2 linked regions of the Arabidopsis thaliana genome follow. The protein of the gene in region 1 interacts with the protein of each later gene in a pairwise test. Each region holds a gene or a part of one and is shown in the gene's direction. Other genes may lie near its edges.

Region 1 (3,754 bases):
GTTTTTTGCTTTGAGGTGTCTATCTTTATTTATAATCGGAAATTTTCAAGTAAAAAGAAATAGACTCTCCAAAGCATAGGTAGAATAATTGAATATTCTTATCAATTAAATCGTCTATAGTAGCCAATTATGATTGCAATCGTTGTGCGAATATAACCAGCATGGTATATATCACAAGTTTTTAGTTAGTGAATTTTTTAGTTATTTCAAGAGCTTGTTCTGTAGAATAAACCAAAAACTAAAAGAAAATCCATTCTATTCAATACCATAACTTCATGTGTTCACGAAACATCATGGGAACACAGTAAATAGAAAAACAAAATCAATTTATAACTATATATGAATGTTGTCAAATGGGAGTTGACCTCCAATATTATCTTTTATACATTTGAAACTTTAATTTTGACTTTTTTTTAGTAAGATAGTTTTTGTTCATGTCCTGAATGTTAGGTAACAGCTAGCGATTTGAAATAGAAATAAACATTTACAAACCATGTAGTGGTCCAAACCATTGACTCAATTAAAGAGTCAACGCATAATCGAATTTGTAATCTGTGAAGAAGAAGACTCGAATGGTATTGAACTTGATTTGATTTGATTCGTTTTGTGAATCGTATCCCGTTAGTCATTGGATTGTGCAGAGAAAACAAATATTGAAGCAACCTCTAATTAAGTCTACAAAGAAATAGGACACCACAACAAAGGTTGACTTTTACAGAATCACAAAGCCAAAACGATAATCTAGAAAGTAGAGAAACTAGACAGCACAAAACGATAAAAGACCGAGTCTGTCGACCATTACCTTAGTTTTTTTTCATATCGTTAAAAAATAATGTGATATACATGTACGTTAATACTTAATATATACTATTTGACTTGAGATAGCCCTACAAAACTTTTATTCATTTATTTCTCACAAGTTCCCTAAAACTTTATGAACCAATTTGAAGATTAATATTTTGTTACGTTGCTATCAATTTCAAATTCTTTGTAGGTGCTATATTTGAAAACTGGTTTCATACCTAAAAAGGTTATGAACCAAAGACTCAACTTGTCTGGTTATAAATAAAAGTGATTGAAAACACTCACACGGCTAGTGAATTCTCATTAGAAAAATGAAAAGTTCGTTAAATTCGACCAGTGATATAAATATATATACGAAAAACATATGATCATTATGCTTTTTGTCAGGTCCTAGAAATAAATATGTGGAACCCAATTCATTTCAACATTCACGGTAATTTAATTTCCCTTGGCAACATTTAGTCATTTACCGGAATATTCAAACTTCGAATGTTAGGAAATATTTAAGAAGGTAATGGTAAAAAGTAAGAAAAAAAGGACTGGGATCAATAAATGAGAAAAATGGAAGTAGTAGTGGGGCTAAAATTTCTCTATCCAAAATAAATGAAACAGGCGCCGACATTAACAACACCATTCCATTTATAACTCTTTATCCAAATTTTTATTTAGCTGAACCCAATTTACTCTTTCTCTTATCTTCCTCTACTTAATTCTTCTAACAAAGCTCTGTTGCAGATGCTTTCTTTAGAAAAAAATTGGGCCAATATTGTTTATTGAAAAGATCAACAACAGACTGGGTTTTGTTTAAGAAAGAATAGTGATTAGAGAACGAGTCGTTGATGTTCTAATTGACTTGCAAGAATGAAAAAAGATACCAAAAAATTCCTCAAAGAGATATTAAAAAGAAAAAACTTTTTAGACACGGAAAAAGAGAGACTTTTCTCAGAGGAAAAAAACAAGAAAAGAGAGAAACCATAGTAAAAAAAAAAAAAAAACTGTCTGTCCAACGATTTGTTTTTGTTTTTTTGTCTCTGTTCTCTCAATTCTTCTTCTTCTTCTTCTACTTCGCCCCCACGACAAGAAATTCTCCTCTCTATTTCTATCTCATTCTTTCTCTCTCTCTCTATAAAATCTTCAACTTCTGGGTTTATTCTTCCACAATCCCTCGAGTTATAATAACTCTCTGCAAAGAGTTTTACTTTGATTCTTCTGTGGAGGATCTTACACAATTTTCATGGCTTCTTGAATCATGTAATCTTTTCCTTCTCGCCATTTTTCATCTCTACCCGGATCCGTAACCAGCTCTCAGACCAGACCCGGGTTATACCATTTCTCCTCCTTAAAAGTCACACCGCGTTGACCTTCTTCCTCTGGTCTCCTCTCCCATTTTCTTTTAAAGAACTTCACAAAGTTTCAATCTTTTACTTTGGTTCCTCTCTCTCTCTCTGTTTATTAGGGTTCTGGGTTCTGTTGATGATGATTCTCTAACTAATGAGGTAGAGTTATAACCCAAAAATAACAAAAGTAGAGTTAAGTCTTTGAAATTTGGTACCAACAATGGCGAGCCAGACGGGTCAGAAAATTCGGTTGGTGAGGTGTCCCAAGTGCTTGAAGATTCTACAGGAAGACGAAGATGTTCCTGTTTATCAGTGCGGTGGTTGTTCCGCCATTCTTCAAGGTAACTTTCTTTCCATTTCGATTTTGCCTCTGATTATAATGTGAACTCTGTCCCTGAATCTGGCTTTGTTCTACTCCTGGTTGTCCATCTGTTTGGATGTCTGAGCTCAAACCAGTTGTGTTTTGTGGCATGATCTCTTTCATTATTAAATTTGGTTGTTGCTTCTTTGATTCAGCGAAAAGGCGGAACATTGCTCCAAGCAGTACACCAAGTGCAGGAGAGACAGAGAGGGCTCAAGCCAATGAGCCGCAAAGCGTACCTGAAACCAACAATGTGTCCAGCAGCTCGGGGCAGGACACGGTTCTGCCGTCATCTCCAGGTCGTTCCGTGGACCAAGAGTATGAGAAAGGTAGGAATGCATCCATGGAGTCTACGGAGAAGGAGCTTGATGACTTAGAGTTATCTAATGGAGATGGGACAAATGAAATTCAAGAGCAGGAATGTTCACTTGGTGATTCTGAGAAGAATGAAAGAGAAGACAACTCCAGATTGGAGTCTCATATGATGAACACCGTAGCAGAAGCTGCAGGATCTGGATCTAGCTCTGGAAGCTTGAGCGTTGATCATGTGGTGGCTGCAAGAGCGAGTAATCCATCCGGTAACTCTGAGATTTCACCGGATGCTTCCCCCGTAGAAGAGAAGCAAAGCCAACTTGACATTCTTGCAAACAAGACTCCTTCTGCTTATGATGTGGTGGCTGCAAGAGCGAGTAATTCATCTGGCAATGCTGAGATCTCACCTGATGCTTCCCCTGTTGAAGAGAAGCAAAGCCAACTTGATTATCCTGCAAACAAGACTTCTTCTGCTTATGATGGGAGTGAGTCTTCCTCTGACGAAAGGGAAGGCCAACTTCTCGATGATGACGAACAATGGAATGCTCTTCAGAAAATAAGATCAGGCAAATTTGAGATGCATAGATACCCTGGGTATAAGGAGCAAGGCGCTAGTTCCTCCTCCCCTTTCTCTGAGAATAGGCGCAATGGGATTACCACATACAACGAGCGGCATCAGAACAGGTCTCTACAGCTAGAGGGACCAGGAGGGCGCCTTGGCAGACAAGGGAGGAGACATGTGACAGAACAACTTCGGCCTGACATGCCTTTCTATCCGAGAGAATCATACACACGTGGAAGCCCTTCCCATCCGTCACATGATGAGTTTGATCGCTATCCCCGTGCACACTCACTTCAAATGCCTTCATACGCTGGAGGCATGAACCACGATTTTGTTGACTATATGTATCACAACAACCCAAGGGCAAGAGGTCAGGGC
Region 2 (3,754 bases), 5.2 Mb from region 1:
TCAACGCAATTGCCAGATGAAAATGCCAAACTAATTTAACGCTCCTTAATGTTCTTTGCTGTACAATGAGCTTTTGAGACGATGAGGGAAAAAGATGATGGCAAACCTTGTTTAGGTCGTGTATCGGAACTGCTTCGCTTTTCCTGATTTTCAACTTCGACAGATATTTTCGGATCAGAATCTGCAGGATTCCTCTGTATATTCTTATTTGTGCCTCTTTTGTTCCCATCAACTTCACTACTTTCACCTTTTTCTCCACCGGCATGTTTTACAGAGCTTTCTGCAGCAATAGGTACATTGTTTCTAGAAGTCGTCTTGTTGTAATCTGTCAACCAACAAACATATGCTGACAAGTTAAATTTTTGATGCATTGGCCAAACTTCCATCACAATACTTTATGTAAGCCCACACAAAGGAAGAACAATTCAATAGATCATAAATTTTACCACAATGAAAATGCATTCACTCAAGTTTAAGTATTGAAACAATGGAGACCCAACAGCGCCAATGTTGGACACAAAGCCAAGGGAAAACATAGATCAGACCTCTACATGAGTCGTCATAGGTTACATAAACGGATATATTGGGATTTTGGAGCTCGGGTCAAATTACTAATATGTTTATGCTAAAGTGCATTTGGATGGAATAAGTCCTTGCTGCAGTCAATGCATATTTATGTACACTATCAACATGAAATAGAAAATGGTAGATATTTTATTTGGTAGCAAAGATTGGCCAACCGTTTCAAAGTGAACTAAATATGCAACAAATTACTAGAAGAAAACTGAATGAAAATGATGAGAATAAGAAAATCCTGCTTACCGCGGTGATGGGAACCTGTTCGAATCTTCAACTCCTCAAATGGAGGAGGGCCATCACCAGCTTTGCTTTCCTGAGATCGAGCCAAACTAGCGTATTTTTTCTTCATCTGCCATTCTTCAGTGAGTGATTGCACATAACCGCCCAAGACAGTCACCTCTTTTGGAGTCAAACATACTAGACCATCACGTATCACAGCCTTATTTTCTAGACGTACCTGCCAACGAGACAGTACAAAATATCAACAATACAAAATGATTTATGATTTGCATATGACACCCTCTGATGCATGACAAACACATATGTGCACTAGCTTTCTATTGATTTAGATCTTAATCCAAACTATTATATTTGCATGAGACTTTCAGAAACATAGTAAAGGAGAATTTGAATTAGATTGATATGGAAATGGAACTACCTTAGTACCAGGAGTGACATCATTGTTAATCGTTGGTATATGAGAGTACTCAAGCGCGGATATTTCGGTCTTCCCGTCAGTCAGAGCGAATTTTAGCACTCGTTTACCAGTGGAACTTCCCACAAATTCCTCTGCGCTACTTCTTGTAACATCCCTAACATAACTTATCTATGCTCACAAAAGAAAACAAATTAACACTCAACAGCTTGAATCAACTGCAACAATTGAGCATTCTGAAACTAGTTTAAATCTAAGTATATCAGTGAGAGTGACTCATTGAATTAGCGAAGACCTAATGCCAATTGTTACTGACTTTAGCTGATTGAAGCAATGTACCTGGAGAACTTTGGGGCCTTGAAGATGAGAACACCTGCGTAACTCGGTCGGGTCCGGGAGGGATTTACCTCCGATTAACTTAATATCCATGTTAAGCAGCTCCGCCTCCACTGACTCCACGATGGCGCCTGTTTTATTGCCGCCGCCGATCAAGGAAGAGATTTCAGTGACCAGGGATTTCAAGTATTCGACGTCTCTGAAGCACCAGCCCCGACTAGTTAGGGCATTTATCACGACGGTGTGGGTGTGGTCGCCGGCGGAGGAGCTTGATGTTCCCACCATTGCGTTGATGCTCTTGTCGCGCTAAACCAATTGGGGAAGACGAGATTTTAATTTGGAGAATTGATTTTGTTATGGTCAATATCGAGTTAAACTAATTACTATTCACTAATGATACTTTTTGCATAAAATCGTTTTGATCAATAAAGAAGAACATTTTTAACAGAAAAACTAGAAAAGTAATTCGAAAAAGTCCTATAAAAAAGGTATTTTCCGGTTTCGTTTTAGTGGGCCTAATGGCCCATATGTAACACGAAGATTTCTGACAGTACGACTTCTAAAGTACTTTGCTTTCCTTGTTGAATTCCGACCAAAGTCGATAAAGAGTTATGACGATGGACGATGGTAACTCCGTCTACGTCGGCGGCCTCCCTTACGACATCACCGAGGAGGCTGTCCGTCGCGTCTTCTCCATTTACGGCTCCGTCCTCACCGTTAAGGTTAATTTTCTCTTTTCAATATCCTGATTTAAGTTTCTTAATTAGGATGATTCAAATTCGTTTCGTGATTTTGAAGTTCCAATCTTATTGTATGATCTTATAGATGATAAGCTTTAGTAGATATCTATGTAGAAAGACTGACCAAGTGATTTAGATAACATCCAATTGCTAGTTGATATATCTTACATGTGAGCTGGTCAGAGTGTATATTGACATATATGTGTACTATTTGAGAATTCAGATTGTCAATGACCGGAGTGTAAGAGGGAAATGCTATGGCTTTGTTACATTTTCGAACCGTCGATCGGCTGATGATGCTATCGAAGATATGGATGGAAAAGTATGGTTCTACTGCTAAAGTTTTGTTCTTTTGTTTATATTATCATGTACGTGGTGTGTTTATATTGTTGACGGTATTGAGCTCGTAATCAGAGTATTGGTGGGCGTGCAGTGCGTGTGAATGATGTGACAACAAGAGGTGGAAGAATGAATCCAGGTCCGGGGCGGTTACAACCACACGGTGGTTGGGATAGAAGTCCTGATAGGAGAAGTGATGGTAATTATGAGAGGGATCGGTATAGTGATAGGTCTCGAGAACGGGATAGGTCTCAGGATAGGAGAAAAGATCATCGCTACATAGAGAAGGAAAGAGCTTATGAGCATTCACATGATTTTGAGAGGAGGAATGATCATGATATGGTAGATAGAAATGGTTATAAGGAAAGAGTTTTCGATGGTGATGAAGGAGATTGGCGTGGGGATAGGTCTTATGTGGATAATGGTAGGGGAATAAATGGGACCAGTGCTCACGAAGGAAGGAGCCAAGAAACAAAGAGAGAAGATAGGTAAACTTTTGTTGAAAACAATGCAGTTGTAGACTTCACATTGGATTTCAAACTTTTAGTGTTCCTCCTGTTTCTTTGAATTGTGACATTCGTTGTTCTTGTAAAATTGGTCTGCTAGTTTGAATGAGTCAAAGACTGGGATGCTAGTCTTAGTCACGCCGCTAAACCAAATCATCCACACCTGTTGTGGTTAAGTTTGATAAATTATCATCGATTTTAGTGTAATGGATTTGAGGAAGTTTCTTGCTCTTGTTGGCTTTGTGCATGTTACCGTTTGAGGAATGTTTTGGCTTGCTTTGGTTTTGTTAACATGTCTAAATCTTTGTGTGTTCTTGTTGGATTGACAGTACCATTCTTGATGGTGGACGTGGCAGAGATCACTTCTCTAATTCAAGTGGAGATCATCAGGTAAAGATGATTTTCTTAGCCATGCAGTGTTTGCATAAATTCATTTTATAACTTGCAACTTCTATTACAGGTGAAAGAAGATCTGGAAGCGCTGATTAAGATGCGTGAGGCGCTTCGAGATGAGGTATGAGGTAGTTTATCTGTGCATATAGGCTGTTGGTAGATTTATTTTACATAATCACGAGTGATCCAATGAATTTATGGGCTAC

What was found. Proteins that work in one complex are often made in the same cells at the same time.
Region 2: the proteins of AT5G05190 (region 1) and AT5G19960 interact in a two-hybrid assay, tested with the Arabidopsis thaliana proteins (one large-scale study listed by BioGRID).

What each region holds. Positions count from the first base shown.
Region 1 is NC_003076.8:1,539,492-1,543,245, forward strand, and holds the start of AT5G05190 (hypothetical protein (DUF3133)), read left to right. Parts: upstream 1-1,726; 5' UTR 1,727-2,361; coding exon 2,362-2,482; intron 2,483-2,657; coding exon 2,658-3,754. UniProt on the Arabidopsis thaliana protein: Plays a negative role in salicylic acid (SA)-mediated resistance to powdery mildew (e.g. Golovinomyces cichoracearum). May modulate plant immunity by regulating the relocation of EDR1 by interacting with CHC2 and modulating endocytosis.
Region 2 is NC_003076.8:6,741,848-6,745,601, forward strand, and holds the start of AT5G19960 (RNA-binding (RRM/RBD/RNP motifs) family protein), read left to right. Parts: upstream 1-2,030; 5' UTR 2,031-2,181; coding exon 2,182-2,292; intron 2,293-2,533; coding exon 2,534-2,632; intron 2,633-2,669; exon of another isoform or gene 2,670-2,724; coding exon 2,725-3,137; intron 3,138-3,484; coding exon 3,485-3,545; intron 3,546-3,615; coding exon 3,616-3,669; intron 3,670-3,754. Other genes in the region: AT5G19950 (tudor domain protein (DUF1767)), read right to left, coding at 107-325, 823-1,036, 1,238-1,405, 1,574-1,855.